Linked DNA regions of Nothobranchius furzeri. The protein of the gene in region 1 purifies or fractionates together with the protein of each later gene. This does not show direct contact. Links are inferred from orthologs where the notes say so. Each region holds a gene or a part of one and is shown on either strand. Other genes may lie near its edges.

The links.
Region 2: the proteins of ckap5 (region 1) and slain2 purify together in Homo sapiens (affinity purification with mass spectrometry; 4 studies listed by BioGRID and IntAct, counting the BioPlex papers as one, with this or other methods). This does not show direct contact. The link is inferred for Nothobranchius furzeri from reciprocal best matches to the Homo sapiens genes CKAP5 and SLAIN2.

The regions. Positions count from the first base shown.
Region 1 is NC_091744.1:80,669,161-80,672,980, forward strand, and holds part of ckap5 (cytoskeleton-associated protein 5), read left to right. Parts: intron 1-2,130; coding exon 2,131-2,304; intron 2,305-3,714; coding exon 3,715-3,820. UniProt on the Homo sapiens protein: Binds to the plus end of microtubules and regulates microtubule dynamics and microtubule organization. Acts as a processive microtubule polymerase. Promotes cytoplasmic microtubule nucleation and elongation. Plays a major role in organizing spindle poles.
Region 2 is NC_091748.1:39,298,686-39,303,195, forward strand, and holds the start of slain2 (SLAIN motif-containing protein 2), read left to right. Parts: upstream 1-1,630; 5' UTR 1,631-1,835; coding exon 1,836-2,305; intron 2,306-4,168; coding exon 4,169-4,311; intron 4,312-4,510.

The DNA.
Region 1 (3,820 bases):
CTGGGGGTTCTGCAGTTTTTCTCCTTCAAAAATAATTAAGAGGGATTTAGTTACAGTTTGCAGTCAGTGACTCGTGAGGTTTCCACGTCTGCGCCGAGCTCATGCAGCAGCGCCGGCATTTGTAATTCGACACCAGCAGGCAAAAAATCTCCATATTTGTTTAAGAACCTAAACCAGTAAACAGGAGCGACCCAGAAGGTTTTCTGGTACCCCTAGGAAGCCACGGTATCTTTTGGTTTCAGTGCCAACTAGTAATGTTTGGTATAACCGGTATTATTTTGGTCTATGATGTAGAATTTGTACTACCGGCCAACCGGCTGCGCTTGCTGATGAGGAGCGTGACAGTTTAGGGCTTCATCCGCTTTTGCATTACCGGCACGGATCAGCTGATCTGAGCGCAACTGAACAAAAGTGAAAGAAATCGGGTAAACCTCCATTATTGTGATATTATGGACATTAACGCAGTTATTCAAACTCCTGAAATAAAACTAAATGTTATTTGCTTTTTACGTTTTTCACTTTAGTTCTGATAATTTAGAATTTATTGTTTTCATCACATTTAGTTTTTATTTATTTTAAAATGTCCATCTTTATTCATTTATTGATATTTTTTGTTGCATTGTTTGGAAAAATAACCTCAACATAAAATCTTATAATACAAATTTATACAGATTTATTCTATCTGGATCTTTTGTTCTGCATTTCATTTGGTATGCGAGGTTGTTCAAAACCATTTTTACATGAATAAACAAAAGAAAAGGATATGCGTCGTTACCGCACGTGCTCCAGAACTGATCGTGGTTTTGGCCATATCGCCCATTGCTAGTGCTAACTCGACATGACTATTTATCACCTTCCTGTGTTTGACTCGTCTTCGCTTGTCATCCAGAATCTTCTGGTGCTGATCCATAACTGGCAACAGGCATGAAACCCTGGAACGGCGGTGATGTTTGGGCTGTAATAACCAAACAGCACCATGCTGTTTTTACCCTGTCGGAGCAAGGCCGTGCCCATTAATGATTAAACATTTCCGTTGGCACTCCCAACTGCGAGTTCTCCCACAGACGGGGAAGAGAGGCCTGTGATTTTCATCGCAGGTATACCTCAGCCATGACAGACAAAATGAGGAAACACATCTAGAAAATCACATTTGGATTTTTACAGAATTTATTTGCATATTTTGGTGTGAAATAAGTATTTGGTCAATAACGGAAGTCCAGCCCAATACTCTGTGTCATACCTTTAGGTGGCGATGTGCTTTTCTGGGTTTTTTTTTTCATGTCGTGTCACGGTTGAGGTCTACCTCTGATGGAAGTACAGGCCTCTCATCTTTAAGTGGGACTACTTGCACAGTTGGAAGCTGACTGAATACTATGTGCCTGTCTGTATTTTATCAACCTGCGAATAAGACTCTTGGATTCCATGAAATCCTGCCTCCTGCCTGTGTGGAAAACCTGGATACAACAGGTCCTGGGTCAGTGCATCTTTGGTCAGAAAACCATAAATGGCTTAGCCCAACGCTGACTCCAGATCAGAACCGGAACAAAGTCCAGACAGATCCTCTAATAACCCTTGCCAACCTTTTAGGCTGTTCTAGGAACTCACCTGGTGATGGTGGATCAGTCCCGGCCCAACACTTCCTGCTGTTCACCAACAAACTGGATCCACATGTAAAACGCTGAGCATCAGTCAGACCTTTCAGGCTATTCGGTTCCGCCTGAACAGAGACCCATCCTGTCAGTCAGCTGTAGATTAGGTTCTGTTGGAAGTTCTGACTTCAGGTCACTGTCCCTTAGAACCATTGGGTTCTGATTGGATTCAGTTTGTTGTCTGGTTTTTATTGGAGGTGAACCTGCCTGGTCCTGATCCATGTTTAGTGTTTATTATTTAGGCTCCTCCCCCTTCCCCAGTCCATTGAGACTTGTGTTTTGAGATCAACGCTGATCAACTCCAGTTCTGACCATAAATGTTTTGGCCTCCATTATTGAAGCTGATGCTCTGACCCGGATAGTTTAATGGTCCAAATACAGAACCGGTTTATGACTTCCAGGTTCTGTTGGATCCAGACTGGAGCTGAGGCGGCGCTGATCCGTAAGACCCCAGACTAATTTGTGTGTTCCATCTGTCCAGTCAGTCCCGTCAGAACGCGCAGCACAGCGAGCCGTCCCACCCATCCATCCCCAAGGAGTTTCAGCTGGACCTGGACATGATCGAGACGGACCAGAACCGAGTGTGTGAGCTACCGGACCTGGTCCAGCACAAGCTGGACGAGCTGCTGGAGCCCTTCATGATCCCAAAGCCTAAGTGAGCACCATCGACATACATATATGGACAATGGGTTTCCATAGGCTCCAATAACACGTTTTTGTACTAAAATGGGAGGTGGCCACCACCGCCATTTTGACCGTGTCACAGGTTCCGTCAAGCCCAGACAATTCCATAAAAGGGAAGAGAGGTGGAGCTGAGGGTGGGGCTGTAAGGCTGGGATCAACTGATGACACCCGGTCGAACTAGCTACAAGCTAACCCAAAGCTAACGCGGAGGTGGGAGCTAAGCTAACGGAGGTAGCAACCTAGCTACAACCGGAGTTAACTGTGCACAACACCAGAGCTTCTGAGTCGGAGATACGCCGGGCTGACCGCTGGGTAAAACCGGGTGGAAAACATCAGTCTCCCGAGAGCTCCACAAGCCAATAGTTGGAACCCAGCTCCACCAACATGTTATATTTCAACCCATTTTCTAAAGTGCAGCATTATGTTAAATACACTGGGTTTTACCCTATTACATTAAAATTTCATGGTTAAACAGTACATGTTAAAATCTAAGCTCAGCTCGGCAGTGACCTAAAATACATAAATATAATTTTACTTACAGAAAAAAATGAAGTGGAGACTCCTTGGACGCTCTATTAGTGCAATTAATGCCACAGCAAGTCATTTTGTTCAACAATTGCACAAATAATTTCCAAAACAGAATACACACACACAGACACTCTACTGAGGCCTTTCCACGAAGCTAGCTCTGTGGTCACGTGGGTCTGATGCTCATTAATTATACAGAATTTTAGGCTTTTAATACACTTAAACAGAAGAGTGAGAAAAAAAATTCACCCCCCTCAGAGTTGTCATGAGTATAAACTAGATCATTTAGACCAAAAACATGTTTTGGTACCAGGCTGTAAACATGTTTATTTCTGCTGTGAAATTGGTATTTTTAACATGGGAGTCTATGAGGATTTGCTCGCTTCTGACACCAGCCCCTAGTGGATGAGGGTGGAACTGCAATTTTTGGTACCTCCGGGTTGAGACCAATTTTAGAGCCGCATTGTGGGGGCTTGGTGAGCACACACACGCACACGCATTCACACACACGCGTGCGCACTCACACTCGCATGCTCTCACTTACGTACGCACGTGCACACACACGCACTCTCTCATGCACACACGTGCGCATGCTCACACACACGCACGTCTTCCTTTCTGTCTTAGTGAGGCTCATCCAGTGACTTCGTAACCATAACCAATGCTGATCTTTTTCTAACCTAAACAAAAACTTCATTCACACCAAACCTATAAACCAACCGGTAAGCTTTTAAGAAAGCGAGGACCAGAAAAATGACCTCGCTGTTGGTTCAAACCTCATGATGGTCCTCAGTCAGTGCTTCAACACACACACGCACACACCTGCTGATTTCTGCTCGTCTCTGGTTCTAAGGATACGGCCCATCTCGCCCCACTTTGATGAGCTCCACAACAGCACCGCCTCCACCATCAACTTTGTCATCTCCCAGGTGGCGAGCAGCGACATCGGTACCAGCATC
Region 2 (4,510 bases), on another chromosome or scaffold:
CTCTACCAGTTACAAATTGTAAAGGAGAACGATCATTTTCACTAATGGCAAGAATAAAAAATGAACTGAGAACAACACAAACTCAACAGCACCTCACTGTCACTGATGGCTATTGAATCTCAGCTTGTCAGGAATCTGGACTTTGATGACATTGTAAATGAATTTACTAATAGAAAGGCCAGAAAGCAGTTTTTTCTGAAGGCAAGAGGAGACCAACAAGAGGAGACAGGAGTCAAGAGGAGGAAGGAGACAGGAGATGAGAGGAGGGAAGAAACAGGAGGCAAGAGGAGGAAACAGGAGACAAGAGGAGGAAAGAGACAGGAGACAAGAGGAGGAAGGAAACAGGAGACAAGAGGAGGAAGGAGACAGGAGACGAGGAGGAAAGAGACAGGAGTCAAGAGGAGGAAGGAGACAGGAGATGAGAGGAGGGAAGAAACAGGAGGCAAGAGGAGGAAACAGGAGACAAAAGGAGGAAAGAGACAGGAGACAAGAGGAGGAAGGAAACAGGAGACAAGAGGAGGAAGGAGACAGGAGACGAGGAGGAAGGAAACAGGAGACAAACAAAAAACATGCAGATATTTCATCTTTGCAAACTTTTCAATAACTGTACAATCTTTTAAATAATCCTGCATTATTTTCTGTTGTAGTGTGACAGTGGGATCTGTTTTACAGCAGACTCACTCGCCCCCACTGTCCCACAGATTGACAACATTTTTGTTATTACAGACAGAAGAGAAGACAGGAACGCTGTGAGGAAGAGAGAGACAGAAAAAGAGGAGAAAAGAGAGGACAGAGGAAGAAAGACATATGAGTGAGGTACAACAGGAACATCATCAGGTATGAGTGTTTGTGATTAGGTTATAAAACTATTTTGACCTGGAGGTAAATGCTTTTGTATCAACAAGAGTAAGCGATTTTTAATATTGACAATGTTATGACATGTCTAAAAAGTGCTAATGGGTGACAGTAATGTTGGGGGAGGCCCGGTGGGGGCGGGGCGGGGTCCTAAGCACATTGTGCCCAGGGGACCCTGCAATGATAATCCGGCCCTGGGTAGAACTCAGTGAAGATAAAACATGCTGGAACAGTTATGTGTGCTGTGATGAGGACGGCAATGTTACCAAAACAAGCTGCATCACAAATCTGGTAAGGTAATTTGTCAGTGAAAGTGACAAAGACCTGTTAGACTGGCTTAAATGAGTATCATTGGAACTAAAATATATATATTTGAGAAAAAAGTCTGCTCATAAGCGACTTGGCCCCGTTCCACCTCGAAGGTAAATGCAAAACTTCAAGACTGTACGGCTGCTCCAAGACACTACCTTTGATCGGGACGAGAACCCCCTTATTTCATTTTATTATATATTTCTAATAAATACAAAGACAAACTTTTGAATGTATGAATATTTAAACTTGAAGGTTTCCTCTTGTTTAAATCGCACATTTATGTGTAATTACATTGTTTCTCTGGAGGAATGTGGTGTCTACCGTCTGTTTTCAGTGACCCTCCAACCCAGCTCACGTGATTGTAGGTGCGCGAGCAAATAGGTGTTGGTTACGTGCTCGCTCTCGATATTGAACGCAGTGACGTAGTTGTCCGCCGCCTGTTGGTCTTTCACAGTTGGTGACGAGTAGCGAATACGAAAATGGCCTCGACCCTTCCCGTAGACTCTAATATCCAGAGAAGATGACGGCGATAAGCTCGTTAAGTCGTTTAAACTCTAAACTGTCTTCTTGGAACACGTAGGAAAAGGAAAAGGAAGGGGCAAAAAGAGAGCCCCGGCCAAGAAAACGCTCCAAAGCACCGAATATTTCCGTCAGGCTGAGGATTCACCATGGAGGATATCAACTCTAATATCAACGCGGACTTGGAGGTGCGGAAGCTCCAGGACTTGGTGAAAAAACTCGAGCAGCAAAACGAACAGCTTCGGAGTCGGTCCACGTCGTTGCCTTCGTCCGGTGGACTGTCCGGGAACCACAGACCTCACAGCGCCGGCTACGACTCGTCCCTGTCAGCCAGTCTGGCCGGCTTCCCTGGGGTGGGGTTCGGCGGAACGGGCGGCTACGGGGGTCTGCTGGAGAACAGCCGCTGTTCGAGACCCAGGCTGTCTTATGACGGCATCAGCTTCATGAGGGCGTATGACTGCGAGGGGGCTTCTGCTGCCACCGCGGTGTCGATCATGAACTCACTTTACCCAGACAACGCCGGGGAGTTGACGGCTGAAGGGGAAACCTCTATCCTGGATGAAGTGGACATCTTAGATCTTGAAGACATGGATTGTCTGAACGAAGACGAGGACAGCTGGTGAGTGATGGGCTTGTTCTGGGAGGAAACTTGCCTGTTAGTGTCTCCAGGGCCAGATGTCAGCTGCTCCACACATTACCTCCACAGCACACGCCTGGCATAAGCAGTCGTCCCACCTTTGTTTTTAATCTGAAGTCATCCCACAGAAGGAGTCCCGTTAGGGACAACTAAAGTGTGTTTTTTGGCACTTAGCATGGGCGAGGCCATCCAAAGACTGGTTTTTCACCAACCATTGTCCCACCAGTCTGCATTTTTCTAGTCCACTTGCTGTTAATGATCAGCTGTTGGGAGTCAGGACCCGGAGGTGTTGTGATGTGGCAGACAGCTCAGCTTTCCTTGGGAGGGGTGGCAAGAAACCGGGCTTGTTTTCCTGCCCAGCAGCCATGTGGGAGAGTAGTCATGGTTTTCATTCCTCTGAATTCCCTTTAGCCCAGCAGTTGGCACACAGCTACAAGTGTTCTGCAGCACCGAGAGGGAAATGGTACTGAAGCAGGACGGTCATTAGGCTGGAATAGAAGCTCTGGCTGTGACATTAGGATCACTGCAAGCATTGGATTTGCAGAACAAATTGCCTTTATTTAAAGAAAGTGGGTCACATCAGGGTATGTTTTGGACTAAGATTCACCAACATGTTCAGCTTGTTATCACAAATAATCCCACTTTTCCATTCTTGAATTTCTCCCAGTGCATTGTGTTTATGTCAACTGGATTTCAAAATAACGATCCTTTTAAAAAAGCTTGTTTTTTCCAGGAGTGCTCATTTAAATAGTTTCTTCTGTGGTCAAGATCCTTAATGGCTATTCAATGCCCAGCCTTTGATGGAACGTATTCAAGTCAGTAATGCACCATAAGTTGTAAATATACTACAAAGTCCCTTTATTAATTATAACTAATTGGGTTTTTAATCAGTTCCCAGCTCCTGCGATCCTTGCAGCAGTGCGCCTGTGCCAGCTGCTTCTCTCCATGTCGGGATACTTTCAGATATTGCCCACTCATGCTTGGCAGAGGCCGTTTCATTTGGCCCAAGCTGTTTACTCTGCCTTTTGCATCAGATATGTGGGATTACCTCGTAGTGCCTTGATGTCGCCAGCTTCTGTCACAGACTCCCATAATCCCATGAATTAGCGAGGCTGGATTTAAAATGCACCCTGGCGCTCGTCGGTGGATGTTTGAGAGCCTTTTAACTTGTGACTGACTGTTAATGTGTTGGAAAACAAAGAAAATGTGTTCTCATGATGTCAGACTTGTATTTCCCTGCACGAGCTTTGCTTTCCCCGCAGCGTCTCCGCTTTCATCATGAAAGGCTTCCTCCTCGGCTTCCTCGGTGCTGACCAATGCTGACTCAGATTTCTCCTCTCAGTAGAAAGTCATCGTGTCTCCTCTCAGAAGCATCACCAAATATTTGCTTTACTTCTGTAACACACGGCATCAGTCCGTCCTGACGGCTCGTAGCCCTGCTTTGCTCTTTTTTGACCCCTTCGTCACTCAGTGGGTTTGGCACTTGAACTAACCGGACCTGACTAAGCATTAAAGTCAGTATTGACGTTTCTCCACTTGTACTCATTTTTTTCATTAATGTTTATTTTTTTAAATGCCGGCCTCTAGGTTTAAAATACGACTACCCTCTAGTTCTGTATGCTTTATTAAAACCAGTCTCAACCTGTCAGGGTTAGTTGGCATTAAAATAAATAAAATCAGTTGATTTTGATTATTTTAATTCTATTTTTTTACTGGAAGCGATTCTATTTAATGTGTCTTTAAAATTTGGTGAACATTTTTATTGTGTGAACTGGTGCCTTGAAAATGAACCAAACAGAACCAAAAACTGTGATCTGCTTCAAGTAATTGTTCGATTTCTTGCAGGTTATATGAAGCGAAACTCAACAGTCCCTTGCAAAAAGCCTTGAGTCCCATCGTATGGTGCCGCCAAACTCTGGACCATCCCAGTCCTGAGATCGAATCAGCCAAGCGCTCTCTCATCCACAGACTGGACCTCACCCTGTCAGGTAAACAGAGTTATCAATGTTTAATTAGCAGCATCATTAGCAGGAGTTGGTAGCATTTTAATAAGCTTGGGAGGCATTCATGTAGCAGAATTAGATCATTTAAATGGATACAGTTGGCCTTTTTATCTTCTACTTTCTCTGGGATTCTTGGTGCTTGAAGGCTTTTCAAAAGCATCACACGTCACTGGTAAAAAACATA